Xenopus tropicalis: one gene and its partners. The main gene of each other region encodes a partner of the protein of the gene in region 7 in a complex. Links are inferred from orthologs where the notes say so. Each region holds a gene or a part of one and is shown on either strand. Other genes may lie near its edges. The genes, in order: ercc3, pfdn2, taf1c, taf1b, uxt, rrn3 and polr2e.

The links.
Region 1: polr2e (region 7) and ercc3 share a complex: the UniProt entries of both Homo sapiens proteins name them as parts of the TBP-based Pol II pre-initiation complex. The link is inferred for Xenopus tropicalis from reciprocal best matches to the Homo sapiens genes POLR2E and ERCC3.
Region 2: polr2e (region 7) and pfdn2 share a complex: the UniProt entries of both Homo sapiens proteins name them as parts of the PAQosome complex. The link is inferred for Xenopus tropicalis from reciprocal best matches to the Homo sapiens genes POLR2E and PFDN2.
Region 3: polr2e (region 7) and taf1c share a complex: the UniProt entries of both Homo sapiens proteins name them as parts of the pol I pre-initiation complex. The link is inferred for Xenopus tropicalis from reciprocal best matches to the Homo sapiens genes POLR2E and TAF1C.
Region 4: polr2e (region 7) and taf1b share a complex: the UniProt entries of both Homo sapiens proteins name them as parts of the pol I pre-initiation complex. The link is inferred for Xenopus tropicalis from reciprocal best matches to the Homo sapiens genes POLR2E and TAF1B.
Region 5: polr2e (region 7) and uxt share a complex: the UniProt entries of both Homo sapiens proteins name them as parts of the PAQosome complex. The link is inferred for Xenopus tropicalis from reciprocal best matches to the Homo sapiens genes POLR2E and UXT.
Region 6: polr2e (region 7) and rrn3 share a complex: the UniProt entries of both Homo sapiens proteins name them as parts of the pol I pre-initiation complex. The link is inferred for Xenopus tropicalis from reciprocal best matches to the Homo sapiens genes POLR2E and RRN3.

The regions. Positions count from the first base shown.
Region 1 is NC_030685.2:86,618,819-86,623,151, forward strand, and holds the start of ercc3 (general transcription and DNA repair factor IIH helicase subunit XPB), read right to left. Parts: upstream 2,826-4,333; 5' UTR 2,750-2,825; coding exon 2,722-2,749; intron 713-2,721; coding exon 504-712; intron 1-503. UniProt on the Homo sapiens protein: ATP-dependent 3'-5' DNA helicase/translocase. Binds dsDNA rather than ssDNA, unzipping it in a translocase rather than classical helicase activity. Component of the general transcription and DNA repair factor IIH (TFIIH) core complex.
Region 2 is NC_030684.2:143,080,075-143,084,565, forward strand, and holds the start of pfdn2 (prefoldin subunit 2), read right to left. Parts: upstream 2,872-4,491; 5' UTR 2,869-2,871; coding exon 2,830-2,868; intron 1,213-2,829; coding exon 1,124-1,212; intron 962-1,123; coding exon 838-961; intron 1-837. UniProt on the Homo sapiens protein: Binds specifically to cytosolic chaperonin (c-CPN) and transfers target proteins to it. Binds to nascent polypeptide chain and promotes folding in an environment in which there are many competing pathways for nonnative proteins.
Region 3 is NC_030677.2:215,209,369-215,213,883, reverse strand, and holds the start of taf1c (TATA box-binding protein-associated factor RNA polymerase I subunit C), read right to left. Parts: upstream 2,858-4,515; 5' UTR 2,751-2,857; exon of another isoform or gene 2,716-2,750; intron 2,669-2,715; exon of another isoform or gene 2,574-2,668; intron 1,098-2,573; 5' UTR 1,086-1,097; coding exon 957-1,085; intron 764-956; coding exon 670-763; intron 1-669. UniProt on the Homo sapiens protein: Component of the transcription factor SL1/TIF-IB complex, which is involved in the assembly of the PIC (pre-initiation complex) during RNA polymerase I-dependent transcription.
Region 4 is NC_030681.2:138,017,353-138,021,108, reverse strand, and holds part of taf1b (TATA box-binding protein-associated factor RNA polymerase I subunit B), read right to left. Parts: intron 2,923-3,756; coding exon 2,823-2,922; intron 1-2,822. UniProt on the Homo sapiens protein: Component of RNA polymerase I core factor complex that acts as a GTF2B/TFIIB-like factor and plays a key role in multiple steps during transcription initiation such as pre-initiation complex (PIC) assembly and postpolymerase recruitment events in polymerase I (Pol I) transcription.
Region 5 is NC_030684.2:1,333,953-1,338,436, reverse strand, and holds the start of uxt (protein UXT), read right to left. Parts: upstream 2,957-4,484; 5' UTR 2,915-2,956; coding exon 2,844-2,914; intron 1,048-2,843; coding exon 966-1,047; intron 199-965; coding exon 131-198; intron 1-130. Other genes in the region: tmem111 (ER membrane protein complex subunit 3), read left to right, coding at 3,045-3,199. UniProt on the Homo sapiens protein: Involved in gene transcription regulation. Acts in concert with the corepressor URI1 to regulate androgen receptor AR-mediated transcription. Together with URI1, associates with chromatin to the NKX3-1 promoter region.
Region 6 is NC_030685.2:34,347,932-34,352,472, forward strand, and holds the start of rrn3 (RNA polymerase I-specific transcription initiation factor RRN3), read right to left. Parts: upstream 2,973-4,541; 5' UTR 2,613-2,972; exon of another isoform or gene 2,597-2,612; intron 329-2,596; 5' UTR 322-328; coding exon 226-321; intron 1-225. UniProt on the Homo sapiens protein: Required for efficient transcription initiation by RNA polymerase I (Pol I). Required for the formation of the competent pre-initiation complex (PIC).
Region 7 is NC_030677.2:100,196,629-100,200,840, reverse strand, and holds the start of polr2e (DNA-directed RNA polymerases I, II, and III subunit RPABC1), read left to right. Parts: upstream 1-1,309; 5' UTR 1,310-1,319; coding exon 1,320-1,376; intron 1,377-1,586; coding exon 1,587-1,761; intron 1,762-1,859; coding exon 1,860-1,975; intron 1,976-3,590; coding exon 3,591-3,671; intron 3,672-4,212. UniProt on the Homo sapiens protein: DNA-dependent RNA polymerase catalyzes the transcription of DNA into RNA using the four ribonucleoside triphosphates as substrates.

The DNA of each region.
Region 1 (4,333 bases), on a different chromosome or scaffold from region 7:
GAGGAGGTAAATCCAAGGGGTAATTTGGGCTGAACCCCGCGCCAACTAATGGTACAGCTTTCCCTTTAGCCCAACCACCCCCGAGTCAGGAGAGTTCACAGATATTTTAGATTAAATTAAATCCAATGTTTTTCCATCAGCGACTGATTTACTTCTACATTTTTCCGGCTTTCAAGTGACCCGACAGCCGAAAACTATTGCCCTGAAGTTTACAATTGTATTAATATTGTAACTTTATACTTTTTTCTTTAATCCGGGCCCTCTCCTCTTCATATTCCAGTCTTTCATTTAAACCACCGCCTGGTTGCTAGGGTAAACAAGACCCTAGCAACAAGGTAGCAGCTGAAATGCCAAACTGGAGAGCTACTTAACGACAAAAAATAAAAACCAATAAAAAATTGGCTCAGATTAATGTCTACGTCATATTAACTCAGTTAATTCAAAGGTAAACAAGCCCTTTAATGGAATCCGCTAGCCGCCTCAGAGTAACATATGGAACGTACCACCCACAGGGGGCGAGAGGAATGATCCATTTTCAGAGGCATCTGCAGGCGATAGTCTTTGGCTCCGTACTCATCCTGCTTTGTGCCGGCTTCGTCCACTTGCTTTCCCGCGGCAGAAGGAACGGCTTCCTGGTATTCGCCCCCGGGCACCTCCTCTTCCTCTTCATCCTCTTCCTCATAGTGACGCCGCTTGAACTTCTTTTTGTCTCCTGGGAGGGAAATCAGAGTAGGTCAGTGGCGCCTATTGGGGGTATTATCCTGCTGCGCCTATTGGGGGTATAACCCTGAGGCGCCTATTGGGGGTATAACCCTGAGGTACCTATTGGGGGGTATAACCCTGAGGCACCTATTGGGGGGTATAACCCTGAGGCACCTATTGGGGGTATAACCCTGAGGCACCTATTGGGGGTATAACCCTGAGGTACCTATTGGGGGGTATAACCCTGAGGCGCCTATTGGGGGTATAACCCTGAGGTACCTATTGGGGGTATAACCCTGAGGTACCTATTGGGGGGTATAACCCTGAGGTACCTATTGGGGGGTATAACCCTGAGGCGCCTATTGGGGGTATAACCCTGAGGTACCTATTGGGGGTATAACCCTGAGGCACCTATTGGGGGTATAACCCTGAGGTACCTATTGGGGGTATAACCCTGAGGCGCCTATTGGGGGTATAACCCTGAGGTACCTATTGGGGGTATAACCCTGAGGCACCTATTGGGGGTATAACCCTGAGGTACCTATTGGGGGGTATAACCCTGAGGCGCCTATTGGGGGTATAACCCTGAGGTACCTATTGGGGGTATAACCCTGAGGCACCTATTGGGGGGTATAACCCTGAGGCACCTATTGGGGGTATAACCCTGAGGCACCTATTGGGGGTATAACCCTGAGGTACCTATTGGGGGGTATAACCCTGAGGCGCCTATTGGGGGTATAACCCTGAGGTACCTATTGGGGGTATAACCCTGAGGTACCTATTGGGGGGTATAACCCTGAGGCGCCTATTGGGGGTATAACCCTGAGGCACCTATTGGGGGTATAACCCTGAGGCACCTATTGGGGGTATAACCCTGAGGCACCTATTGGGGGTATAACCCTGAGGGGCCCTATTGGGGGGTATAACCCTGAGGTCACCTATTGGGGGTATAACCCTGAGGCACCTATTGGGGGTATAACCCTGAGGCACCTATTGGGGGTATAACCCTGAGGCACCTATTGGGGGTATAACCCTGAGGCACCTATTGGGGGTATAACCCTGAGGCACCTATTGGGGGTATAACCCTGAGGCACCTATTGGGGGTATAACCCTGAGGCACCTATTGGGGGGTATAACCCTGAGGCACCTATTGGGGGTATAACCCTGAGGCACCTATTGGGGGGTATAACCCTGAGGCACCTATTGGGGGTATAACCCTGAGGCCAATTGGGGGTATAACCCTGAGGCACCTATTGGGGGTATAACCCTGAGGCACCTATTGGGGGTATAACCCCTGAGGCGCCTATTGGGGGTATAACCCTGAGGCAGCCTATTGGGGGGTATAACCCTGAGGTACCTATTGGGGGTATAACCCTGAGGCACCTATTGGGGGTATAACCCTGAGGCACCTATTGGGGTATAACCCTGAGGCCTATTGGGGTATAACCCTGAGGTACTATTGGGGGTATAACCCTGAGGCACCTATTGGGGGTATAACCCTGAGGTACCTATTGGGGGTATAACCCTGAGGCACCTATTGGGGGTATAACCCTGAGGTACCTATTGGGGGTATAACCCTGAGGCACCTATTGGGGGTATAACCCTGAGGCACCTATTGGGGTATAACCCTGAGGCACCTATTGGGGGGTAATAACCCTGAGGTACCTATTGGGGGTATAACCCTGAGGCACCTATTGGGGGGTATAACCCTGAGGCACCTATTGGGGGGTATAACCCTGAGGCACCTATTGGGGGGTATAACCCTGAGGCACCTATTGGGGGTATAACCCTGAGGCACCTATTGGGGGTATAACCCTGAGGCACCTATTGGGGGTATAACCCTGAGGTACCTATTGGGGGTATAACCCTGAGGCACCTATTGGGGGTATAACCCAAGGCAAATGCACGGAATTACGTGAAACTCCCAGAAGGCCCCTGCGTTATTAACCCCCTCCCTCCCCTGAGTTTAGCGCTACCACACGGCACAAAGCCCCACAGACTATGGGACACTGTCCCTACCTCTGTCCGCCTTATCCCTCTTGCCCATCGCAGGTTCCCTGGCAGCAACACCTTCCGGCTGCTTCTTCTGCTGCTTCTTCCCCACTTCCGGTGCGCACTACGGAAACCGGCAAGAGACATTTGCTACTTGTTGCTCTGGAAAATCTCAATGCTGCCACCTGGCGGCCCCTTTGTGTAAAGCACCCACTATAGAAATCGCTAGGATCGTTCTCGCTGGGGAAAAAACCCACAGAGATGATGGGCAGGGGGGAGAAAAGGGCGGGGGAGTCATGACAGAATCTCAATTGGAGGGATTGTTCACCTTTGAGTTAACGTTTAGTATAACATAGAGAGTAATATCCTGAGACAATTTGCAATTGGTCTTCATTTTTTTGTATTATTCCTGGTTTTGTAAATATTTCCCTTTTTGTGCAGCAGCTCTCCAGTTTCAGCAGTTATCTGGTTGCTAGGGTCTAAATTACCCGAGCGACCAGGAATTGGTTCGAATGAGAGACTGATATGTTTGTAGGAGAGGGACCTAAACAGAAAGAAAAGTAATAACAATAACAATAACAATAAAACTGGAGCCTCACAGAGCAATAGGGTTTGGCTGCCGGGGTCAGTGACCCCCATTTGACAATTAAAGGGGAAAAGAGTCAGAAGAAAGCGGCAGATATTAAAAACTATAACAAATAAATAATGAAGACCAATTGAAAAGTTTCTTAGAATAGGCCATTCTATAACATACTAAAGGTTCACTGAAAGGTGTGGGAATAATAGACATGGAAATAGCTCCTGCCAGGGCCGGACAGGGGCTGCTGGGACACCGGGAAAATACCCTGTGGGCCCCTGGACATGGTGGGCCCCCGGACATGGTGGGCCCCATCGGCCCAGACCCGACCCTGTTGCAGCTTCCCCTGGCCGTTGGTGTCCCCCCCTGATGGGTTTCACATACGCAAGCTCGGGGGAGGACGTCGGGCGGGGGGCCCTGTGAGGGGATAGGGGTGTGCGGTGGGGGCCCCAGCAGGGGACGCAGCCAGAAGAGGCCCCTTGTGGGGTGCGGGCCCCCCGGGGGGTAGCCTCGGTGGGCCCTGCACCCCCCAGTCCAACCCTGGCTCCTGCTACTACTACTATGACTATAATGTATGTCCCCTAATTACAAATACATGGGGGACAGAGGCTACGGAAGAGCCCAGAACACACTGCAGCGAATGGACTAACAAAATCAGAAACTGGCTCGCTGCTGGGTCATCACAGTTCTAGGACTCATGAACCTACCTCTATACCAGGGATCCCCAACCTTTCTTACTCGGGAACCACAGTCAAAGTAAAAAGACTTGGAGAGCAACACAAGCACCATAAATGTTCATGGAGGAGCCAAATAAGGGCTGTGATTGGCTATTAGGGGCCTCTATGCACCCTATCAGCTTACAGGGGAATCTTGTTTTTATTCAACCAAAACTTGCCCCCAAGTCAGGAATTCAAAAATAACTCCCTGGTTTGGGGGCACTGAGAGCAACATCCAAGGGGTTGGGGAGCAACATGTTCCCCCCGAGTCACTAGTTGGGGATCACTGCTCTATACAGTATATAAAATACAGCATTTCTAGCCATTTCATTTTGGGCTTTAGTTC
Region 2 (4,491 bases), on a different chromosome or scaffold from region 7:
CCCAATAAGGGGTAATTATATCTTAGTTGGGATCAAGTACAGGTACTGTTTTATTATTACAGAGAAAAGGGAATCATTTAACCATTAAATAAACCCAATAGGGCTGTTCTGCCCCCAATAAGGGGTAATTATATCTTAGTTGGGATCAAGTACAGGTACTGTTTTATTATTACAGAGAAAAGGGAATCATTTAACCATGAAATAAACCCAATAGGGCTGTTCTGCCCCAATAAGGGGTAATTATATCTTAGTTGGGATCAAGTACAGGTACTGTTTTATTATTACAGAGAAAAGGGAATCATTTAACCATGAAATAAACCCAATAGGGCTGTTCTGCCCCAATAAGGGGTAATTATATCTTAGTTGGGATCAAGTACAGGTACTGTTTTATTATTACAGAGAAAAGGGAATCATTTAACCATTAAACCCAATAGGGCTGTTCTGCCCCAATAAGGGGTAATTATATCTTAGTTGGGATCAAGTACAGGTACTGTTTTATTATTACAGAGAAAAGGGAATCATTTAACCATGAAATAAACCCAATAGGGCTGTTCTGCCCCCAATAAGGGGTAATTATATCTTAGTTGGGATCAAGTACAGGTACTGTTTTATTATTACAGAGAAAAGGGAATCATTTAACCATTAAATAAACCCAATAGGACTGTTCTGCCCCAATAAGGGGTAATTATATCTTAGTTGGGATCAAGTACAGGTACTGTTTTATTATTACAGAGAAAAGGGAATCATTTAACCATTAAATAAACCCAATAGGGCTGTTCTGCCCCCAATAAAGGTTAATATGCCCTTTAATTAGGTGCCCACAAGGCAGAGCCTTACCTGCTCTTTATTATTCTCCAAAGCCGGAAGCACTTCCTTCACGGTGCGTTCCACCAGTACCCCCCCGACCATCCGGAAACACTTCCTGCCCTGCTCCACTTCCTTCAGGGTGTCGATAACCAACCTGCGGAGCGAGGGAGACGACTGTCAGTTAGTTAGGGAGATCTGCACTGGTTCCGACTACAGAACAAATGTAGCGTGCAACAGAGAGGAATAACGACCCTCGGGGAGAATCACATTGAAGGATTCTTCATTGCTGAACGACCTGTTTGCTAATGAGACTCACGTGTGTTCGTTAAGCTCCATCTCCAGTTCCGCTGCCTTGGACGCGAGACCTCGCTGCTCCTGGCGCAGGCGATTAAATCCAGCCACCACCTGTAGCAACAAACACAGAACGTACATATTAAACAAGGGTATTTGGCTTAACTTTCCCTTTAATGGCAACTCTTAAACAATGTGGGCAAACAGATCAGCCCAGCATTGGCTCATCTTCTTACAGGGGCCTATGGGGTCCAATATCCAGAAACCCTTTATCCATAATGTTCCATAGACTTCTTTTTTAATCACGTTAAAAAGTTATTTCCCTTTTCTCTGTAATAATAAAACAGTACCTGTACTTGATCCCAACTAAGATATAATTACCCCTTATTGGGGGCAGAACAGCCCTATTGGGTTTATTTCATGGTTAAATGATTCCCTTTTCTCTGTAATAATAAAACAGTACCTGTACTTGATCCCAACTAAGATATAATTACCCCTTATTGGGGCAGAACAGCCCTATTGGGTTTATTTAATGGTTAAACAATTCCCTTTTCTCTGTAATAATAAAACAGTACCTGTACTTGATCCCAACTTAGATATAATTACCCCTTATTGGGGGCAGAACAGCCCTATTGGGTTTATTTAATGGTTAAATGATTCCCTTTTCTCTGTAATAATAAAACAGTACCTGTACTTGATCCCAACTAAGATATAATTACCCCTTATTGGGGGCAGAACAGCCCTATTGGGTTTATTTAATGGTTAAATGATTCCCTTTTCTCTGTAATAATAAAACAGTACCTGTACTTGATCCCAACTAAGATATAATTACCCCTTATTGGGGCAGAACAGCCCTATTGGGTTTATTTCATGGTTAAATGATTCCCTTTTCTCTGTAATAATAAAACAGTACCTGTACTTGATCCCAACTAAGATATAATTACCCCTTATTGGGGCAGAACAGCCCTATTGGGTTTATTTAATGGTTAAATGATTCCCTTTTCTCTGTAATAATAAAACAGTACCTGTACTTGATCCCAACTAAGATATAATTACCCCTTATTGGGGGCAGAACAGCCCTATTGGGTTTATTTCATGGTTAAATGATTCCCTTTTCTCTGTAATAATAAAACAGTACCTGTACTTGATCCCAACTAAGATATAATTACCCCTTATTGGGGCAGAACAGCCCTATTGGGTTTATTTAATGGTTAAATGATTCCCTTTTCTCTGTAATAATAAAACAGTACCTGTACTTGATCCCAACTAAGATATAATTACCCCTTATTGGGGCAGAACAGCCCTATTGGGTTTATTTAATGGTTAAATGATTCCCTTTTCTCTGTAATAATAAAACACTAAGGTGCCCCAGTCCCATTGTTGAACCCCCTTCCAACTGAGGGATTATGGGATATCACTAACAGCTCAGTACCATAGCAACACTGCTACCAAGCTGGCTAGCAACAGTTTCTAGGAAGCAGAAGAGCCGGCTGCTCCTGGGCTGCTGTGGGAAGGCTATCAGGGATCCCAATAGGGAATGAATCTGAGTAAATGCCCAAGGAAGCCTGTTCCCACTGAGCTTATAATAGCACATGTGTCTATATAAGGGAATGAATGGCCATAATGAAAAAAGGGCTTTGGGCTTAGTTGCCCTTTAAACGGCCGGTTGGGGGGGGGGGGTACCGGCCGGGCAGACCCCCCAGCAGCCATTATGCCCACCATGCCCAGTACCTGCTCGGCCGCCACCTGCTTCGCTGCATTAGACGCCATCACGCTTCTCTCTCGCACTGCGCACCTTCTCCGCGCAGCGGAAGTCTATGCGTTCCGACGCCACTTCCGCCCGGGAAGTCCTGGCGGCGCCATGTTGAGAGAGGGAAAAGCATGACTGGAAGCGCCTGGTTGGTGGGGCGCATAAGCCGCGTCATAGTCGGGCCGTAGTAAGTGACGTCAACACATTGTGACAGCTGAGGCCTCCTGGGAAAGTGTGTGTGTCAGATATATCGCCGCTTCTTTATAGCCCGTGCGGGGGGGCTGCGTAATGCGATTGGCTAATGGGGTGTCCGGAAGTCTCTAAACTACAGATCCCAGAATGCTCAGCCAAAGCCCGGGGAGCTGACGTTAGCCTCCTGTTGTCATGTGACTACTCCCTAGTGCGCCTGTTATTGGTCAGCCACCATTTCTGGGGTTTCTCTGCCCAGATGCAGGTTAAATAAACATATATAACTACACTAGAGAATAACAAGTCAAATGGGGTTCATCTTGGGGTTCCCAGCTCATTCCCTATCTTGGTAAAGAGATTAAAGGGAAAGTAAAGTCTTAGCACTTAGTGTCTTGGACTAAATCTCCCAATCCTGTTTCCCATTTATTTCTTTATAGTTTTTAAATAAATTCTTCTTCTGCCTCTTTGCAGCTTTCAAATGGGGGTCACTGACCCCGGCAGCCAAACCCTATTGCTCTGTGAGGCTCCAGTTTTATTGTTATTGTTACTTTTTATTCCTTATCTTTCTATTCAGCCCCTCCCCTATTTATATACCCGCCTCTCATTCAAATCACTCCCTGGTTGCTAAGGTAATTTGAGCCCTAGCAACAGTATAACTGACCCCGGCAGCCAAACCCTATTGCTCTTTGAGGCTCCAGTTTTATTGTTACTTTTTATTCCTTATCTTTCTATTCAGCCCCTCCCCTATTTATATACCCGCCTCTCATTCAAATCACTCCCTGGTTGCTAAGGTAATTTGAGCCCTAGCAACAGTATAACTGACCCCGGCAGCCAAACCCTATTGCTCTGTGAGGCTCCAGTTTTATTGTTATTGTTACTTTTTATTCCTTATCTCTCTATTCAGCCCCTCCCCTATTCATATACCCGCCTCTCATTCAAATCACTCCCTGGTTGCTAAGGTAATTTGAGCCCTAGCAACAGTATAACTGACCCTGGCAGCCAAACCCTATTGCTCTGTGAGGCTCCAGTTTATTGTTATTGTTACTTTTTATTCCTTATCTTTCTATTCAGCCCCTCCCCTATTCATATGCCAGCCTCTCATTCAAATCACTCCCTGGTTGCTAAGGTAATTTGAGCCCTAGCAACAGTATAACTGACCCCGGCAGCCAAACCCTATTGCTCTGTGAGGCTCCAGTTTTATTGTTACTTTTTATTCCTTATCTTTCTATTCAGCCCCTCCCCTATTCATATACCAGTCTCTCATTCAATCCACTCCCTGGTTGCTAAGGTAATTTGAGCCCTAGCAACAGGAGAACTGACCCGTTTTATTGTTACTGTTACTTTATATCAATTACCTATCTATTCAGCCCCTCTCCTATTCATATTCCCTTCTCTCGTTCGAATCAAAGCCTGGTTGCTAGGGTACTTTGCACCCTAGCAACCAGGCAACTGAA
Region 3 (4,515 bases), about 120 Mb from region 7:
CAGTCCCCCCTAGGCCCAAACTGTACTAATGGCACCGACGTGTTTATGGGTCGGCCCCCCCTAGGCCCAAACTGTACTAATGGCACCGACGTGTTTATGGGTCAGTCCCCCCTAGGCCCAAACTGTACTAATGGCAGTGACGTGTTTATGGGTCAGTCCCCCCTAGGCCCAAACTGTACTAATGGCACCGACGTGTTTATGGGTCAGTCCCCCCTAGGCCCAAACTGTACTAATGGCAGTGACGTGTTTATGGGTCAGTCCCCCCTAGGCCCAAACTGTACTAATGGCACCGACGTGTTTATGGGTCGGTCCCCCCTAGGCCCAAACTGTACTAATGGCAGTGACGTGTTTATGGGTCGGTCCCCCCTAGGCCCAAACTGTACTAATGGCAGTGACGTGTTTATGGGTCAGTCCCCCCTTGGCCCAAACTGTACTAATGGCACCGACGTGTTTATGGGTCAGTCCCCCCTAGGCCCAAACTGTACTAATGGCAGTGACGTGTTTATGGGTCGGTCCCCCCTAGGCCCAAACTGTACTAATGGCAGTGACGTGTTTATGGGTCAGTCCCCCCTAGGCCCAAACTGTACTAATGGCACCGACGTGTTTATGGGTCAGTCCCCCCAGGCCCAAAGCGGAGGAGGTGGCTGAGAGACTTCCCATATGAGTTACCAGGGTTAGGAGGCAGCAGTGGGATGGGTGCCGGGCTGGTTGGGCTCCAACGTTCTGCAGATCTGCTGTACAAGGGAATGAACTTGTAACCATCCTGTGAAAACAATGACAAGGTGTCTGTGGGTGCAACCACTATAACCACCCCCTTCCCCAGCACTGCCCCCCCCCCCCCCACTAAAGCATCCCCATGTGATCCCCTTTCTTATTTTCCTTTGTAACATTTCTGACACTTATCCCCAGAGCTGCCATCTAAACCCCAATAAACTAATGTCTCTACTGAACCTTACCTGCGCGCTGTTACTGTGCTGGACTTTGCTGTGTTCCCCCAGGCCAAACACAGAGTGGGAAGTGGGGGCCTCCCTGGCACAGGGCCCCTCGCTGTAAAATGAGGGGAACAAAGAGCCTGGAAACTCCATCTAAGAAGTCATCTACAAGGCAAGAACAAGAAAGATTATAAGGCAGTTACATAAGCTAAATGTACTCACTATAATTGGCCTTCAGGCTGGATCCCCTCGGCTCATAACAAATGATTTCTAATATCCTTATCATTTACAGTAGGGGGTACAGTATCCCTTATAATACATGAGTGATACTCAGAGTTCCCTGTATAACTCAGCCTGCAGCCTTGTGCCTTTATATGGGGGGCACAGAACCCCTCAGTGACTGCTAATATCCTTATCATTTACAGTAGGGGGTACATTATCCCTTATAATACATGAGTGATACTCAGAGTTCCCTGTATAACTCAGCCTGCAGCCTTGTGCCTTTATATGGGGGGCACAGAACCCCTCAGTGACTGCTAATATCCTTATCATTTACAGTAGGGGGTACATTATCCCTTATAATACATGAGTGATACTCAGAGTTCCCTGTATAACTCAGCCTGCAGCCTTGTGCCTTTATATGGGGGGCACAGAACCCCTCAGTGACTGCTAATATCCTTATCATTTACAGTAGGGGGTACATTATCCCTTATAATACATGAGTGATACTCAGAGTTCCCTGTATAACTCAGCCTGCAGCCTTGTGCCTTTATATGGGGGGCACAGAACCCCTCAGTGACTGCTAATATCCTTATCATTTACAGTAGGGGGTACATTATCCCTTATAATACATGAGTGATACTCAGAGTTCCCTGTATAACTCAGCCTGCAGCCTTGTGCCTTTATATGGGGGGCACAGAACCCCTCAGTGACTGCTAATATCCTTATCATTTACAGTAGGGGGTACATTATCCCTTATAATACATGAGTGATACTCAGAGTTCCCTGTATAACTCAGCCTGCAGCCTTGTGCCTTTATATGGGGGGGCACAGAACCCCTCAGTGACTGCTAATATCCTTATCATTTACAGTAGGGGGTACATTATCCCTTATAATACATGAGTGATACTCAGAGTTCCCTGTATAACTCAGCCTGCAGCCTTGTGCCTTTATATGGGGGGCACAGAACCCCTCAGTGACTGCTAATATCCTTATCATTTACAGTAGGGGGTACATTATCCCTTATAATACATGAGTGATACTCAGAGTTCCCTGTATAACTCAGCCTGCAGCCTTGTGCCTTTATATGGGGGGCACAGAACCCCTCAGTGACTGCTAATATCCTTATCATTTACAGTAGGGGGTACATTATCCCTTATAATACATGAGTGATACTCAGAGTTCCCTGTATAACTCAGCCTGCAGCCTTGTGCCTTTATATGGGGGGCACAGAACCCCTCAGTGACTGCTAATATCCTTATCATTTACAGTAGGGGGTACAAACACACTAGATCACACAGCTGCACACACAGGAGGCCCAGAGCCAAATGTAACCCCCGGCGGTATGAGTACAGGAGCGAGTAATACATACACTCAGGGACACCCCCGGGAATCACGGTGAGACCGCCCCACATTACTCACTGTATCTCCCACAAACACGTGTAGTTGCACCCTCAGAGCTCACACTCGCCTCCCACAGCGCTACAGTCTCCCACAGCGCTACAGTCTCCCACAGACAAACACCCATTACCGAGCGGACACTCACACTCACACTCACACTCACACTTCCCTTCTCCTCACACCCCACACAATCCGAACCTGAAGTTTTTGCTTGTACCTCTCTCCCGGCCCGTCATAAAGTGTTATTTCAGGTTACGCACCAATGAAGAGTAAGAACGCTCAGTCACATGACCATGTAGCCAATCACAGAACAATGGGCGTGTCTCAGCGCATAGCGGCCATATTGCTACTCGCTGGGTGCAGTTCTGAGTTCCAAGGTGGCGGCTCGGAAGTTTCCTTCAGTTCCCTCCCAAGAGACGCCTTCAAGGTGTGATTTGGGCGTAGAGCTGGGCTTTTGGCTCCTGTCTGTTGTGTCGGAATTTTACACCAGATAAAAATCAACTATTCCCCTCCTGCCATTCCCTAACTATCCCCCCATTCCCTAACTATCCCCCCCTATCCCCCCATTCCCTGACTATCCCCCTCCTATCCCCCCATTCCCTAACTATCCCCCCCCTACCCCCCAATTCCCTAACTATCCCCCCCCATCCCCCATTCCCTAACTATCCCCCCCTATCCCCCCCATCCCCTAACTATCCCCCCCTATCCCCCCATTCCCTAACTATCCCCCCATCCCCCCATTCCCTAACTATCCCCCCTATCCCGCCATTCCCTAACTACCCCCCCATTCCCTAACTATCCCCCCATTCCCTAACTATCCCCCTCCTATCCCCCCATTCCCTAACTATCCCCCCCTATCCCGCCATTCCCTAACTACCCCCCCATCCCCCCATTCCCTAACTATCCCCCCTATCCCCCCATTCCCTAACTATCCCCCTCCTATCCCCCCATTCCCTAACTATCCCCCCCATCCCCCCATTCCCTAACTATCCCCCCTATCCCGCCATTCCCTAACTACCCCCCCCATCCCCCCATTCCCTAACTATCCCCCCCTATCCCCCCATTCCCTAACTATCCCCCTCCTATCCCCCCATTCCCTAACTATCCCCCCCTATCCCGCCATTCCCTAACTACCCCCCCCATCCCCCATTCCCTAACTATCCCCCCCTATCCCCCCATTCCCTAACTATCCCCCTCCTATCCCCCATTCCCTAACTATCCCCCCTATCCCCCCATTCCCTAACTATCCCCCCTATCCCCCCATTCCCTAACTATCCCCCCTATCCCCCATTCCCTAACTATCCCCCATTCCCTCACTATCCCCCCATTCCCTCACTATCCCCCCATTCCCTAACTATCCCCCCATTCCCTAACTATCCCCCCATTCCCTAACTATCCCCTCCTATCCCCCCATTCCCTAACTATCCCCCCCATCCCCCATTCCCTAACTATCCCCCCCTATCCCCCCATTCCCTAACTATCCCCTCCTATCCCCCCATTCCCTAACTATCCCCCCTATCCCGCCATTCCCTAACTACCCCCCCCATTCCCTAACTATCCCCCCCTATCCCCCCATTCCCTAACTATCCCCCTCCTATCCCCCCATTCCCTAACTATCCCCCCCTATCCCCCCATTCCCTAACTATCCCCCCCTATCCCCCCATTCCCTAACTATCCCCCCATTCCCTCACTATCCCCCCCATTCCCTCACTATCCCCCCATTCCCTAACTATCCCCCCATTCCCTAACTATCCCCTCCTATCCCCGCATTCCCTAACTATCCCCCCCTATCCCCCCATTCCCTAACTATCCCCTCCTATCCCCCATTCCCTAACTATTCCCCCATTCCCTAACTATCCCCTCCTATCCCCCCATTCCCTAACTATCCCCCCCTATCCCCCATTCCCTAACTATCCCCTCCTATCCCCCCATTCCCTAACAATCCCCTCCTATCCCCCCATTC
Region 4 (3,756 bases), on a different chromosome or scaffold from region 7:
TATATTGTTTTTGGTGTGACGGCTCTTTGTAAATAGCAGCTATTTGCTCTGCAAACCCCACAGTCTTTACTCATGCCCCACGCAGTATCCATAATATCATCAGAACACACTGTAAGAACAGCCTGCTTTGTTTCTGTAAATATACTATGTACACACACAAATATCCTTTGCATTACAATAATTTCACTGCTTGCAGACTATTATGTTGAACCTAATATGAGAGTCTTGAGCACAAGAAGTATGGAAATATTTCCCCAAACCCACTATCAGGCCCAGCATGCAGAGAAGAACTGAGCATGCTCAGTAGCCAACAGCCAAACTTAATTCCTAAGGGAGGCAGCTAAGTGGGTTAGAGTAGGAGAAGGAATCCTAAGTGATTGAGGGGACACTAAAGCCTAACTATTAACCTTTAAGCAACCAGAGGGGGTATTTAAGGTTTCAAAGAGGCTATTTACTGATTACATATTTTTGTGGGGCTTTACATGTCCTTTAATAATAAGAAATAATTTGTCTAGTCAATTGCATTGCTGTACTTCAAAGGGATCTTAACCCTCAAAGTAATGTAGAGTTGCTCTTCTGAGTACCTTTGCAATTTTTTTTGTTCTGTTTTTCAAGATATTAGCAGTTTCCACACTTTTACTATAAAGAACCTGAAACAAGGCTACTGCTGTTCAGTTCAGCCAGCAGATGAAAAGACTTCTGGTTTTGCTTTGCTTAGAAAATGAAGTTAGTGTTCAGAGATGAGTATGTAGAAGTATACTGATACTGCTTTGCCTATGGGATAGCATACAGTACAGCATTATGGAACTAAATTAGTGCTGGACTGTACAACCAGGAGATGCGCATCGCTATGTGCAGTGTAGCTCAGCACCTGTAAAAGTAATGCACAAATACACCTACCCATAGATACGTCTAAACGACCAACTGCAACAACACCACTGAGTCCCTACTACTTCTCAACAACCAGAGGGTACAACTGCACAGAGCCCGCTCACTCCTTGCTCCTCAATATTTAGTACATAAAAGGGGACACAAATCAATCTCTTTCATAAATTTAGACCTTGGAATCCATAAAAATGAAATAAAATACGTTAAATATTTGACTGCATTCCCTCACACTTATCAGTGCCTACTCACAGCAGGTTTTAGGAGAAATTTTACAGACGTTTGATGCCCTCTAGTGGTAGCTGAAGAGGATGAACCAGTAAAGTACTTGACATGTACAGACAAATTCCACACTTACACCAGACCCATATGGCTTAACAGAAAGGATCAGCAAAATGCATATAGATAGATAGAAACATTATGTGTCTATCTATAATGTATACATTATATTTATACACCTATTTTAGACATTTCATGCAGTTCTCAATGCAGGCAATAAATGTCATAGGGATTTTCATTCTCGCATGAACTATTCCACTTTTATGAGGCAAAAAAAAATGAACATTGTTGGCCCAAGGGCAGAAGGCCAATAGATCATCTGACTTGTGTTTCTGTCAGCAAAGCTGCCTGAAATAGGGGCCTCTTTATCAATAAGCTTGTTTTTTACCACCATACTGAATGAACATCATTGCATGTAAAGGGGAGAGAATCACTGTTAAAAATGTGGATGTAATTGCTCAGAAACTAGAACATTCAGTTATTCTGAAACCCATTATCCAAAAGAGCTCTGAATTATGGGAAGACTATCTCCAACAAATCAAATAATTAAACTTTTTAAAAATAATTTCTCTTTCCTCTGTAATAATAAAACAGTACTTTGTACTTGAGCCCAACTAAGATATAATTACCCCTTATTGGGGGCAGAACAGTCCTATTGGGTTTATTTAATGGTTAAATGATTCCCTTTTCTCTGTAATAATAAAACAGTACCTGTACTTGATCCCAACTAAGATATAATTACCCCTTATTGGGGGCAGAACAGCCCTATTGGGTTTATTTCATGGTTAAATGATTCCCTTTTCTCTGTAATAATAAAACAGTACCTGTACTAGATCCCAACTAAGATATAATTACCCCTTATTGGGGGCAGAACAGCCCTATTGGGTTTATTTCATGGTTAAATGATTCCCTTTTCTCTGTAATAATAAAACAGTACCTGTACTTGATCCCAACTAAGATATAATTACCCCTTATTGGGGGCAGAACAGTCCTATTGGGTTTATTTAATGTTAAATGATTTTCAGCAGACTCCAAATGCTCATTCAAGAAGGACCCTCAATACCATTCCCCTTGTAGTGTTACAGGCATGGGATCCCTTACCTGGAAATTTATAATACAAAAGCTCCAAATTACAGGAAGGCCATCTCCCATAGGGTCTATTTTAAGGAAATAATCCAATTTTTTTTTTTTTTTTTTAAATCATTTCCTTTTTCTCTGTAATAATAAATCAGTACCTTGTATCTGATGGCACTAAGCTGCATGAATTTATATTGGTGGCACATCAATCCTATTGGCTTTATTTAATGTTAGTTTAATGTTTAAGGTACAGAAATTACAGAAAGATGCTTTATCCAGAAAACCCCAGGTCCCAAGCATTCTGGATAATAGGTCCTATACATGTACTGCAAAACACAGTGGGAACCTTGTATCCTTGTAACCTTGTAAGTGGTAGAAGTTAGAACAGCAGATTGTTACATCAGAACCTACATACATCTAGCATGAAGAAGCTTAAATACATGTGTTTATGAATGCATCCAAACCCTCTTCAACATGTGATTTGCTTTACAGTTTCCTTTTAATAAAACAGCAATGCAAAGATCTTTAAAAAATTGGTTTGAGAAGTTAGATCCAGGTTTTGTAGCAGCATGGAGACCTACCTGCATCCGGAATATTCTGACATCATGTCCGTATACTTTTATTTCTTCCGGCAGATATTGATGTGCATTTATGTACGGAATGTGTTTTTCGAAAACAAATCTACAAAGCATAAAAGAACAATTTATATTTGTGTCCTAAAACGAATAAAACTTGGTAAAGAGGCTGAGGCTTCCGACTGCTGGGCTGTTAGGGGATGATAGCATTTGAGACAGAGATAATGTACCTAAGGGATGTCCAACTGGAAATCCCGAAGGGCCATATGTGGCCCTCCAAGTGATTTTTATGGTCACCTTAATTATGTCAATAGGTCAAATAATCTACATAGAAAATGTTAGTCATAATTAAAGAAGATAAAGTTAAAGTTTAACCTCTACTGGCCCCCACCCCTTTCCCTGACCACAGTTAAAGGGCACCGATCACCTCCTATTGTTTCCCCCACCAGAGGTGCAGGCTAATACAGCCCGCACTCCAAATAGGGGAAACAATAGTTTGTTTGTTTTTTTCAAAAAACTGCCAGCGCTGTGCTACCTGCACCGTGAGGGAGCCCCTGGAGCGGGCAGCCATATTGGGGCACATGCATGTGCATAATGAGCAAGCACTCATGCCTGTGACATAGGAGGGTGATTTACATCCACCGCTCGCATCGGAGGACCTTCGGCACTTAAGCTTTTTATCAGCTCCTGCAATTAAATTTATGATCACAAACATACCACTAAACTGTCCGAAGAAATAGAAACATAAATTTGAACTACAGGTGCTGATAAAAAGCTTACGTGCCGAAGGTCCACCCATGCGAAGACAACTTCTGGGTCAGGAATTCAAGCACCCGTTGCCTTTTCGCCGTGCTGCTATGGAGCAGTTTATAACTAAAATTCTAAATGAAGCATTTTATAAAAGACCAGAGGGAAAGGGTATCCCTATCATTAGAGATGT
Region 5 (4,484 bases), on a different chromosome or scaffold from region 7:
GTGCCCGGTTATACCCAGTTAAACAAGGTGCCCGGTTATACTCCCGTTACACAGAGTCCCCGGTTATACCCAGTGACACAAGGTGCCCAGTTATACGAGGTGCCCGCGGGTAGAGGGAAACATCACTTACACTTCTGCATTCACAAAGAAGTTACAGCCCAGGTCCACCTGTGTCTGCAGCGTCTCGGGGGGCAGCTCCTGGGGGAACAGCAGAGATCATTGGCACCACAAATGCCCCTATTCCCACCCAATAAGAATTTCCTGGGCAACAGACTGGCACACTAAGGGCAATAAGGTATCACTGGAGCAGAACATGGGGTCAAACACATTATTGGCCCTCTGGAACAATATCACTTCACTGTTGCAGTACCCCTTATCCTCCACTAGGCATTATCCTTCCTCTTCACCATCACTGAAATGGGGCAGGGCTCAGCCCACAAGCAGGGACACGCCTCTAATGGTAGATCCATGTGGTGCAGCATATACAGCAGCCTGTGTGTGTATTTATACTCATTAGTGTCACACACTGGGGCGGCAGGGCCACTACTTACCCTATGGGGGGGGGGGGGGGGCAGGGCCAGCACATACCCCTATGGGGGGGCAGGGCAAGTACTTACCCTATGGGGGGGGGGGGGGCAGGGCCAGCACATACCCCTATGGGGGGGCAGGGCAAGTACTTACCCTATGGGGCGGCAGGGCAAGTACTTACCCTATGGGGGGGGCAGGGCCAGTACTTACCTTATGGGGGGCAGGGCCAGTACTTACCCTATGGGGGGGGCAGGGCCAGCACATACCCTATGGGGGGTCAGGGCCAGCACATACCCCTATGGGGGGGCAGGGCCAGTACATACCCCTATGGGGGGGCAGGGCCAGTACATACCCCTATGGGGGGGCAGGGCCAGTACATACCCCTATGGGGGGGCAGGGCCAGTACTTACCCTATGGGGGGCAGGGCCAGTACTTACCTGTAACCTCTCGATCACGTTTTTGAGCTGCAGGTATTGGCTGATCTTCTCATACACGGCATCGCGGCTCTCTAGCACCTTCCTGCAGCGAGACGGGGGCAATTACTGTGAGGGTATCACACATGCTGGGTACAATCACCCTAAGATGCCCCCCACTGGTTCCCTTAATGCCCTGTGCATAACACAGTCGGCTCAGGGGCATTTATTCTTTTCTATTTAAGTTTCTCTTGGAATTGTCACTGCTATTTGGTTACTAAGGTTTAGTTACCCTAGCAACCAGGCAGCAGTTTGGATGTGTGGATGGAAGTTGAGGCTACAGGTTATTAAATACCATAGACTAGGGGTTAGGGGTATGAGGGGATATAAGAGGGGTATGAGGAGGGTATAAGGGGGAGAATGAGGGGAGTTAGGGGTATGAGGGGGAGTATGAGGGGGAGTATGAGGGGGGGGTTAGGTATGAGGGGATATAAGAGGGGTATGAGGAGGGTATAAGGGGGAGAATGAGGGGAGTTAGGGGTATGAGGGGGAGTATGAGGGGGGGTTAGGTATGAGGGGATATAAGAGGGGTATAAGGAGGAGTATGAGGGGGGTTAGGAATATGAGGGGGTATAAGAGGGATATGAGGGGGGTATAAGGGTATGGGGGGGAGTTAGGGGTATAAGAGGGGTATGAGGGGGAATTAGCAGTATGAGGGGGGTATAAGAGGGGTATGAGGGGGTATATGAGGGGAGGGGGTATAAGGGGGTTATATGAGGGGTATGAGGGGGGTATATAAGGGGGGGGTATATGAGGGGGTATATAAGGGGGGTATATGAGGGGGGTTAGGGGTATAAAGAGGGGGTATAAGAGGGGTATGGGGGGGGTATAAGAGAGGTATGGGGGGGAGTTAGGGGTATATAAGAGGGGGGGTATATGAGGGAGGGGTATATAAGGGGGGGTATATGAGGGGGGTTAGGGGTATAAGAGGGGGGGTATTGAGGGGGTAATATAAGGGGGGTATATGAGAGGGGTTTAGGGGTATAAGAGGGGGGGTATATGAGGGGGGTATAAGAGGGGGGGTAATAGAGGGGTTATGATATGAGGGGGGGTATAAGAGGGGGGGTAATAAGAGGGGGGGTTGTATATGAGGAGGGGTATAAGGGGGGTATATGAGGAGGGGTATATAAGGAGGGGTAATATGATAGTGAGGGGGGGTATAAGAGGGGGGGTATATGAAGAGGGGTTATAAGGGGGTATATAAGAAGGGGTATATGAGGAGGGGGTATAATAAGAGGGGAGGGGGTATATAAGGGGGTATAATGCGGAGGGGTATAAGAGGGGGGGGTATATGAGGAGGGTATAAGAGGGGGGTATATAAGAGGGGTATATGAGGGGTTTAGGGGGTATATAAGAAAGGGGTAATATGAGGGGGGGTTAGGGGTAATATAAGAAGGGGTATTGAGGGGGGTTAGGGGTATAATAGAGGGGGTATATAGAGGAGGAGGTAATAAGAGGGGGGTATATAAGAGGGGTATATGAGGGGGGTATATAAGAGGGGTAATAGGGGGTTAGGGGTATATAAGAGGGGTATATGAGGGGGGTTAGGGGTATATAGAGGGGTATATGAGGGGGGTTAGGGGTATATAAGAGGGGGGTATATAAGAGGGGAGGGGGTATAAGAGGGGGGGGGTATATGAGGAGGGGTATAAGAGGGGGGTATATAAGAGGGGTATATGAGGGGGGTATATAAGAGGGGTATATGAGGGGGTTAGGGGTATATAAGAGGGGAGGGGGGGTATATAGAGGGGGGGGTATATAAGAGGGAGGGGGGGTAATATAAGAGGGGGGGTATATAAGGGTGGGGAGGGGTAAGTGCCACGGACAGGCCACAGGACTTACCGCAGATCCCCACGGAGAGTTTCCCACACAAACGCCTCGTATCGCTGCACCTTGTGCCCCAGCCCCGCCATCCCTTCCCGGCACCCCCCGCGGCTCCTGCGTCACAGCCCCGCACTTCCGCTTCCACCATTTTTGTTTTGGGCGGAAACTCCTTCCTAACCCTGGGGATTTCCGTTTCCGCTGGCTGACTGGCTGAGGAACATGGGGAGCCCCGAGTTGCTGTTGGACTCCAGTATCCGCCTGTGGGTCGTCTTACCCATCGTCTGTATCACCTTCCTCAACCGCCTCTCTTCCGCCCGATTTACCCCGCCTGCTGCAGGGGGAGAGCGCCCCGAACTGGAGCCCCTCAGCGATAGGTCTGTACTGGACATCCCCATATAACTGACCCCCCCATATACTGACCCCCATATACTGACCCACCCCATATACTGACCCCCCCATATACTGACCGCTCCCCCCATATACTGACCCCCCATATACTGACCGCCCAGTATAACTGACCCCCCGGATCTGACCCCCCATATACTGACCCCCCATATACTGACCCCCCCCCATAATACTGACCCGCCCCCATAATACTGACCCCCCCCATATAACTGGACCCCCCCCCCCATATACTGCCCCCCCCATATACTGACCCCCCCATAATACGACCCCCCATATCGACCCCCCATATACTGACCCCCCCATATACTGACCCCCATATAACTGCCCCCCCCATATACTGACCCCCCATAAATACTAGCCACCCCCCCATATACTGACTCCCCGGATACTGAGGACCCCCCCCATATACTGACCCCTCTCCGCCAGGATAGCCCGCCCGGATACTGACCACCCCATATACTGGAGACCGGACGTCGACCCCCATATACTGACCCCCACCCATGATATGAACTCCCCCCCATATACTAGGACCCCCCTCAGTTGCTCCGGCCCGCCTGAGCCCTTTCGGATCCCGTTGTAAGACGGACCGAGAGAATGGTAGCAGTTGTGGGGCTCCGGTCCTTCATGATACAGTCCTGTGTCATCTCCCCACTCACACGACTATCGCCCTCCTGCCCGTCTAACATGCCCCCCCCCATATACTGACCCCTCCTCCCCCATATACTGGCCCACCAGCCCCGGATTACTGACCCCCCCCCCATATACTGACCGCCCCCCATAATACTGACCCCCCCATATACTGACCCCCCCCCATGATACTGACCCCCCCATTATACTGACCCCCCCCCCCATATACTGAACCCCCCCATATACTGAACCCCCCCATATACTGACCCCCCCATAAAATTACTGACCCCCCATTATACTGACCCCCCCCCTGACCCCCCCCCATATACTGACCCCGCCCCCATATACTGACCCCCCCATATACTGAACCCCCCCCCATATACTGACCCCCCCGGATACTGACCCCCCACCCCCCCGGATACTGGACCCCCCCATATACTGACCCTCCCCCCATATATTGACCCCCCCCCCCGGATACTGACCCCCCCCCATATACTGACCGCCCCCCCCATATACTGCCTCAGCGATAGGCTCCCTGTACTGACCCCCCCCCCCTGGATACTGACCCCCCCCCCGGATACTGACCCCCCCCCCCCGGATACTTGACCCCCCCCCCCATATACTGAC
Region 6 (4,541 bases), on a different chromosome or scaffold from region 7:
ATAAAACCCTAGCTGTAGAAAAATGGTCCCAACAGCTTTTGAAAAATACTTAGTCCTCCATATGTTGCAGAAGAGACACAAGTTGAGCATACAGGAAATGGCAATTTGCATTTTATATTACTTTAGCTAGGTAAAGTAGTACTTTGGCCTATGCTATCAGTTTTATTATTTATGCAAGTTTCGTATCTAATATAACATTAGCTTTACACTATGATGGATAATTACCTTTGAATACTTGAACAAGATTTCTGTCACTTTTCCACCAAATCTGACAGTTTTTTTGGGTGGAGAGCTGAGAAATTCATCACTTTCTGTCAACATCTTTAATCTGCAGACAGCACATATAATAAAAATGAAAAATACACATTATGTGTAGGCACAGATATTGTTTTGCTGTTTTGCTGATATGTTACATTGTAAAACCTGAACTAATATATGCTGTTTTACAAAACATGTTATTTTATGTACCCATTTACACAAAATTCTGGAAAATGGCTAAACTTTCAACTTTCAACTTTTTCAAATATGTTTATATTACTTAATATACATTTCAGCAAACATTACATTAAACTTTATATTACTTAATTTACATTTCTATCAGATGACTTGCTGAAACTTGTTTATTAAATTAAATAATGCACCCCCTCTTATAAAATATGAGTATATTAGAAGTTACTTTAGAGTTTCATGACCTGTACAAAAGCAATCACCCTTTGGCCTTGTGGTTTCAGATGGTCAAAGAACACCTTGATGACTTACAATACAGGTATGGGATCTGTTCTCCAGAAGACCCATAAAATTATTTGAAGGCCATCTCCAACTCCATTTTAATCAAATAATTAAAACTTTTAAAAACAATTTTCTTTTTTTCTGTAATAAGATAGTACCTTGTACTAGATGCCAGCTACAATATTAATAATCCTTTACTGTAGGCAACACAATCCTATTGAGTTTATTTAATGTTTAAAAACTTTTTTAGCAGACAAAGTATGGAGATCCAAATTATGAAAAGACCCCTTATCTGGAAAAGCCTAGGTCCCAAGCATTCTGAATAATAGGTCCCATACCTGTAGCCTAATATTTTACAATAGGGGGCACATTATTCACTATATAAATTATAGGAGGTAAAGGTACATTATTTATCAAAATCTACAGGTCTGAAGCATATGGGGGAATGCTGTACTACCAACCCTTACTCAGTGTATATCCACCATTAAAGTCTCACACATTTACAATGTGCACGTTTTGAAGAGAATGAGAGATCCCGTGGGTGACAATGGCAAGGGAGGCCCTACAGGTATGAGTGTTAGGGGTTATTATAGTTATGCCTTTTTTTCCATTCTATTACTTTCTGTGTGGGTGGTATGGGGCGCATAATCATTCTTCTCTATGCAGATGGCATGGGAAGTCTATAGTTATAGAAGTTATATTCCTATCACCATTCCCCTTTTTTCCCCTTATTCCCTTACCCCAGGGGTGGCCAGACTTTTTTCAGTCGCGATCGACCGATGACCAGGGAATGTACGTACGCATTCACACAGCACTTTCGCATCCTAGACTTGATCGCAGTCTACCAGGAATCCACGGGGGATCAACTGGTGGACCACGATCGACATTGGCCACCACTGTCTTACCCTGTGCCTGCTCTCCCAAATTTCCTCACATCCCTATTCCCTCACACTCCTTCCCCCTGCACATGTTCTCTATTTCCTTATAGTTCTTTCCCTACCCATATCCCTTCCCTTCGTTGTGTTTCTTCCAGGGCCACAGAGACTTCTCCAGGCCTGGACTTGTAATCTGAGGGGCTGCTGTAAAATGCTATAAGGGCTCTGGCACACAGGGAGATTAGTCGCCCGCGACAAAACTCCCTGTTCGCGGGCGACTAATCTCCCCGAGTTGCCGCCAGTTGCCATCCCACCGGCGACAATGTAAGTCGCCGGTGGGATGGCACACGCGGTGGCGCGATTTCAGGAAATCGCCGAAAAAGCCTTGCGAGGCAACTTCGTCGATTTCCCGAAATCGTGCCGCCGCGTGTGCCATCCTACCGCCAACTTACATGTTCGCCGGCGGGATGGCAGGTGATTGCAACTCGGGGAGATTAGTCGCCCGCGAACAGGGAGTTTTGTCGCGGGCGACTAATCTCCCTGTGTGCCAGAGCCCTAAGACACTAGTTATTGGCCCTGTGCGGGGGCGATTTGGGCATCTGTGTGCTTGAAATGACAGGGCCTATTTTTAATTTACTTATACCTCTGTAAAATTTTCTGTGAGCAAGTTTTGGGGGTGTGGCTGAGCAGAATATTGGGGGGGAGGGGCACAGCTGTTCAGTCAGGTGCAGGGGGGGCGGAACTTAATCCAGCGGTGCATGTAGATCCAGTGGCAACAACACGGGGGAGGGAGGAAGTGGGATACTGACATTATTGTTATGTGACATTACACAACAAACCACTGATAATCAAGAAAATGATGTACTTTCTAAACAGAGCCCACTAATAAAATCTCGCATTACAGCTAAAACTGGCGTGTTTTAATCAGCGCCACCCCCTTCCAAAAATATTAGAGGTACCGGATGGATGTTTTCTGATAAATCACAACATACCGCCCAACAGACCCACTTTTGACAGAACAGAACGCACTCCCGGATCGCTGTTTATAAGCCCAGCTCCACGCTTGCTGCACGCCTGCTCGCCGAGAGGATCGTCACAATCTCGCGAGATGAGACAGGAAGTCACGCTTAGTGAGTGTGACGCGCTGCAGCGGTATGATAGTGCTAGTGGGGGTGGTGGTAGGAATGAGGAAGGACTGTACCTGTGGTAGTGACACAACTCATAGCTTCTATTAGGTTCAGCGTGCTAAAGGGAGGGACAAAGTAAAAACACTTATTCTGGTTGCCTAATAGCTGCAGCCCAATAAAGAGAATGTGAAGATAAAATTGGATTGCAACTTTTTAGCCTTTCCATCTTCTTTAAAGGAGACATATTGGATAAATGGGGAAAAACCCTAATTTTGTAGGCAATTATGAATAATATCCGGTGCTGGTTTCACTTTGGGCTAAACATTAACCCTATCTGTAACAATGGCCCCTTTATTGGAGCTCCCTATAGATCCTATCACTTCTCCATCCAATGTGAAATGAAGAGTGGGCGTGTCCTAACGGTCCCTGCCAGAAACACAACATTTTTAAGCACAATCCTTCTATATCTAGAGGAGTATAATTCCCTAGTACATTCATAATTTTTATAGGATATGTCTCCTTTAAACATTCTCAGAGCGATCCCATCCTAAAGACCTTGCACAAAAGCAAGCACTTCCTATACAGAAGAGAGAGTAAATGGGACAGGGCATATGGAGAGCCCCAGGTGACATGCCCTGTACTCAATGATATAATGTATACAGCAAGGAAAGAGTACAGTTATCCAAAATTCTGAAACTTCAAGATATGTAGGTTGGGAAACAATGCACAGACACATCAGGGTACATAACACAATGCTTAATATCCAATGGAGAGCCTTGTAACCATATTGCACCCAATACATTGTGATTTTGGGTTCTGCCGAAACCTATCTGCTGTATGATTGTAAGCTCTTTTGGGCAGGGCCCTCTTCACCTCTTGTATCGGTTATTGATTGCTTTATATGTTACTCTGTATGTCCAATGTATGTAACCCACTTATTGTACAGCGCTGCGGAATATGTTGGCACTTTATAAATAAATGTTAATGTAATGTATGACAAGCCACCTGATCTACAGCTCACTGATATATACAAAGGTGTGGCAAAGTGGAAAGGCAGTTATTTTGCTTATAAATTCCCATATTTAGCACATGAGGAAATAAATGTTACCTCATGTTCTGGAGATGTGTCACTATCTTTCTGTAAAGCTCTCTTTGAGTATTCCCAGATAACAGGCCATGTCCAAGCATGGCTCTGATGAGACAGAAAATAAGTACCATTTAACACAGCGCCCAAATAAAATGTATGGCACAGATCTTGTACAATGCCCATTAGGGACCTTATTAAGTATTGCTTATCACACTGTACCTACATCCTGATGCCTAATTGTACTCGCCTTGCACTGTGCCCAAAACAATCACTTTCCTATTTAAACAGACAAATCCTGTGTTACTGTATTACTGGGAACAGGCATATATACACTCCCTCAATCACCCAGAATTCACTGATAAAATACAACTCTCTGCAGCCTGTGATGTGTAGCTGTGCAACATTTCCACCCATACATGCCCACTAACAGAATGCTACAAACAGGACAGAGTAAGAGTAAGGACAGCATTTCTTTGGTGCAGAACTGACCGGCTTCATTGGGCATGATGGTGCCCAGTTTCACTGCTAAGGAGAAGCCTGTTTCTTGGCAATGCTGTAACTCGTGGTTATTCCCTCCGCTGCCGTCACAGTAACGTGTTCCATAGAGGATGGCGCCGCCACCTGTCATATTGAGCCCCAGATTCTCCCACAAATCACAGACACTGCACTTCCATCCGCTGTGAGAAAAAGTCCCAGGAAAGAGAGTGAGAAAGACAATAACAG
Region 7 (4,212 bases):
TTGAACCAACAAATGTATTTTTTTAGCTGTAATATTGGTCTATAAGCAGCATTGTGCAAGTCTGAGCTTTCAGAAGGAGCCAGCGCTACACATTGGAACTGCTTTCAGATAACCTATTGTTTCTCCTACTTCCATATAACTGAAGGAGTCACAAGCTGGAATTGGATTTCTTACTATTGAGTGCAATTCTGAGATCTACTGGGAGCTGCTATCTTGCTACCTTCCCATTATTCTGCCGATTGGCTGCTGGGAGGGGGTTCATATCACTCCAACTTGCAGCTCAGCAGTAAAGTGTGAGTTCAGAGCACAGGTCACATGACTGTGGCACCCTGGGAAATGAAGAATATGGCTAGCCCAACGTGAAATTTCAAAATTAAATATAAAAAAAATCAGTTTGTGTTTTTGAAAAATGGATTTCAATGCAGGATTCTGCTGGAGACGCTCTATTAACAGATATGTTTTTAAAAAATACGTTTTTCCCGTGACAGTATTAATTTAACGTATTGTATCCTTACCTTGTATTTACTATCATACTTTGTATTTATTTTATTGTAATAGTCCCGTTTATTCTATTCATTTATTGTCCTACTGTACAGCGCTGGGTACATAAGTAGTGCTATATAAATAAAAATATATATACATACATAAAGATAATATTATATATCAAAATGGGGCTTGGGGCAAAAATAAAAAAAAATCTTAATAAAACACTGCTCGCCTTAAAACAGTTTAACAAGTATTTCTAAAGAATATTTAGTTTACGTAATTCTTGTAGTTAGCCTATCATTGGCACATTACCACACCCTCTTTTGCCAATAACTAATCCCTATACCTTTAGAGGGTTAACTCTTAAACTTAGCCACTTATAATATTAATGCAGAGCGCCATGTAACTATGTGACGCAATATAAATACACGAAGACGATGAATATAGGAACGGTAGTAATACCCACCAACAAAATGGTGATCTTTACAAGAACATGTACGCCGGCTTCTTGCCTACCACAAACATGGCCGAGCCCTTCAACTGCGACGATGCAATTTCTTTGGTCTTCCTTAGCGTGATACCGAAACTTGAACAAATTCTACAACCCGAATAGCCACCTTCAGCAAAAAAGGGAAACGATATTATGCGCAACTTTATTCCTTTTCCACAGTGCAGTTTTAAGCTAATAACACGTCCTCAGAGATACCCCACAGCAGTATTCGCTTGTAGCCATCAGGCAGAGTGAGGGCAGCCCATGTAGGGTCCTCCTGCAGCCCAGGGAGCCGAGCTCCGGAAATCGCGCTCTTCTTCCTGTTTGGTCTCGTGGAGACAACATGGACGATGAGGAGGAAACTTACCGGTTGTGGAAGATCCGCAAAACTATTATGCAGGTGAGAAAATTGAGTTTTAAATCTTTTTGTGTTATAATCTTCGCCTTTTTCAGTAATTCGAACTCAGCTACGTTGTGTTGGGTACCATTCATTTCTGCTTCCAGCATATACTTCTACTGTACTCTTCGTCCCTGTCACTTTTACTTTTGTGCTTTACCTCATCTGTCTCCATATTACCTGTTTCACTCGCATCCTTCTTTCCTTCGCCAGCTGTGCCATGACCGTGGTTACTTAGTAACGCAGGATGAATTGGATCAGACACTGGATGAGTTTAAAGCCCAGTTTGGGGACAAACCTAGCGAAGGGCGCCCTCGCCGAACTGACCTGACTGTATTAGTAGCTCATAATGATGATCCCACAGACCAAATGTTTGTTTTCTTCCCAGGTGAGTAGGTGCAAAAAAAAAAAAAAAAACAGTGACTGGCTGAAGGGTCTATACATGCAGACAAAGGATTATTACATGTTTGCCTGTCTTATTTGTAGAGGAACCCAAAGTTGGCATTAAGACAATTAAGATGTATTGCCAGAGAATGCAGGAGGAGAACATTACGAGGGCTTTAATCGTGGTGCAGCAGGGAATGACCCCATCTGCCAAACAGGTAATTCTGCCAGCTAACGTGCACCTTACCTAAGCATACTTACTGGGTGAACTGCAGTTCTGATCCAAAGCTTTTATAAATGAAAATGTACAGATAAAATATATACTACTCCGATGAATTAATTTTCTATGTGATTTGTATGTTTTGCTGGCAAAAGACACCTAAGCTTTATTTTTTATCTTAAAAATGGGATAAGTTTGAAAGACCCTTCTTTAAAAAGGAATACACCTATTATTAAAACTATAGATCTCATCTGCTAAATGCAAAAAAGTGCAATTTGCCATATTACCCCTCAGTGCAGCATCCTTCCTGCAGCATAGGCATACACTTACATGGTTGTCAGTCATGTGCAGTTCAGCTTCCACAACCTTGATTGGCTATGAGTGCATAAGGAGGCCCAGTGCTTAAAGGAACAGTAACACCAAAAAATGAAAGTGTATAAAAATAATTAATATATTATATACTATTGTTTTGCACTGGTAAAAGTTGTGTGTTTTCTTCATAAACACTACTGCAGTTTATATAAATACCCTACTGTGTAGCCACGGGGGCAGCCATTTAAATTGAAAAAAAGAGAAAAGGCACAGGTTGCTAAGCAGATAACAATTAAGTAGCAGATTCCCATTGTATTCTACACAGTTTATCTGGTATCTTCTTATGTAACCTGTGCCTTTTCTCCTTTTTTCAATTTAAATGGCTGCCCCCATGGCTACACAGCAGCTATTTCTATTAACTATAGTAGTCTTTCTGAAGCAAACACGCAACTTTTACTAGTGCAGGGCAACAGTAAATTATATTTTAATTATTTTAAAACATTTTTATTTTTTAGTGTTACTGTTCCTTTAACACCAGGCCCAGACTGCCAGTCTGTGGATTCTGGCAAATGCCAGAGGAACTGCTGTAAGATCCCACAGACAGTTGCTGTTTGGGCCTTTGTGTATTTGAAATATTAGGGCCTATTTTGAATCTCAGCCTGGGTCTGCATAACACCAGGTCAAACCAGATGTTAAGCACAGGGCTTGGGTGCAAGTAGGTGCAGGTCATATGCGTATGCTGTTTAAAATTTGCAATTCTGGCTGATGAACTAACATAGTCATATTATCCAAGTATAAGCAGGTTACCGTTTTATGTTCTCTGGCAAGTAAGATAAAGGCAGACGTTTACTAGTTAATTAGTTACTAGTTAATATTGTATGATTATTACTTAATACTACTACCACGTTTTCTAAAAACAGGATCGAATCACTTTATTTGCCTGATGGAAAGGTAAAGGACAACTATAAACCTTCTCTCCTATGATATAGGAAAGAGGATGGACCGGTCATTGCATATAAATATGAATGTAACCTTTTCATGCTAAATCATAATAAAGACGTTAAAAAAAAAAATTGGCAATTCTGCACCTACTTCTTGTAAGTGAGCCCTTTTGACTTCAATCCAGTTGAAACCTTGTTTCCTATGCATAGGATAAATACTGCCAAAATCTGAAAAAATATTTTAATTATTAAATTATCAGTTAATGTAGTAAAATGTTTACATGGTGTTAGTCCATAATAAATACTATCCAAAGCTTCTGCCAGCTTTCCTATCTTTATAGCAATCTCTTTATTTTGCAGTCCCTGGTGGATATGGCACCCAAATACATTCTGGAGCAGTTTCTACAACAGGAGCTTCTGATTAATATCACAGAGCATGAGGTGAGTTTTAATACAGAAGGGGAAGAAACACTTTCACTCATACTGAAACGTTTCTGTTATCCATACACACTGACATGTAATAGGTGGGTGCACATGGGAACGTTAGGTGCCTTCTTGATGAGTAGCAGCAGAGTATTGTAATGTGTTAGCCATAGTTTCAGAAAAAAGATTTTAGGTGGTAACATGATACCGTTTAAAATTAATTAACCAATAAACAGTATCACCTTCCCACAAAAATCTTTTTTTTTTTTTTTTTGTGAGTCCATATAGTTTAGAAGTTCATCTTTATTAAGTTCTGTACTGTTTATTTCTGATAGCTCAGGGATTTTACATTTGACCATAACTTTGTAAACTAAAACTCCCAATATGTTGCATTTGTAGCTCGATTGCTGGATGAATTTGTAGTTCGGTACCTCTAATAGCAAATGATAGGCAGGATGTGTAATTCAGAATATAATAAAAGCCCACTACATTTTAATTTTTTTTTTTTTTTGTGTTTCCTTTGCACACTGTAAAAGAATAGTTATAGTTGATAATACTT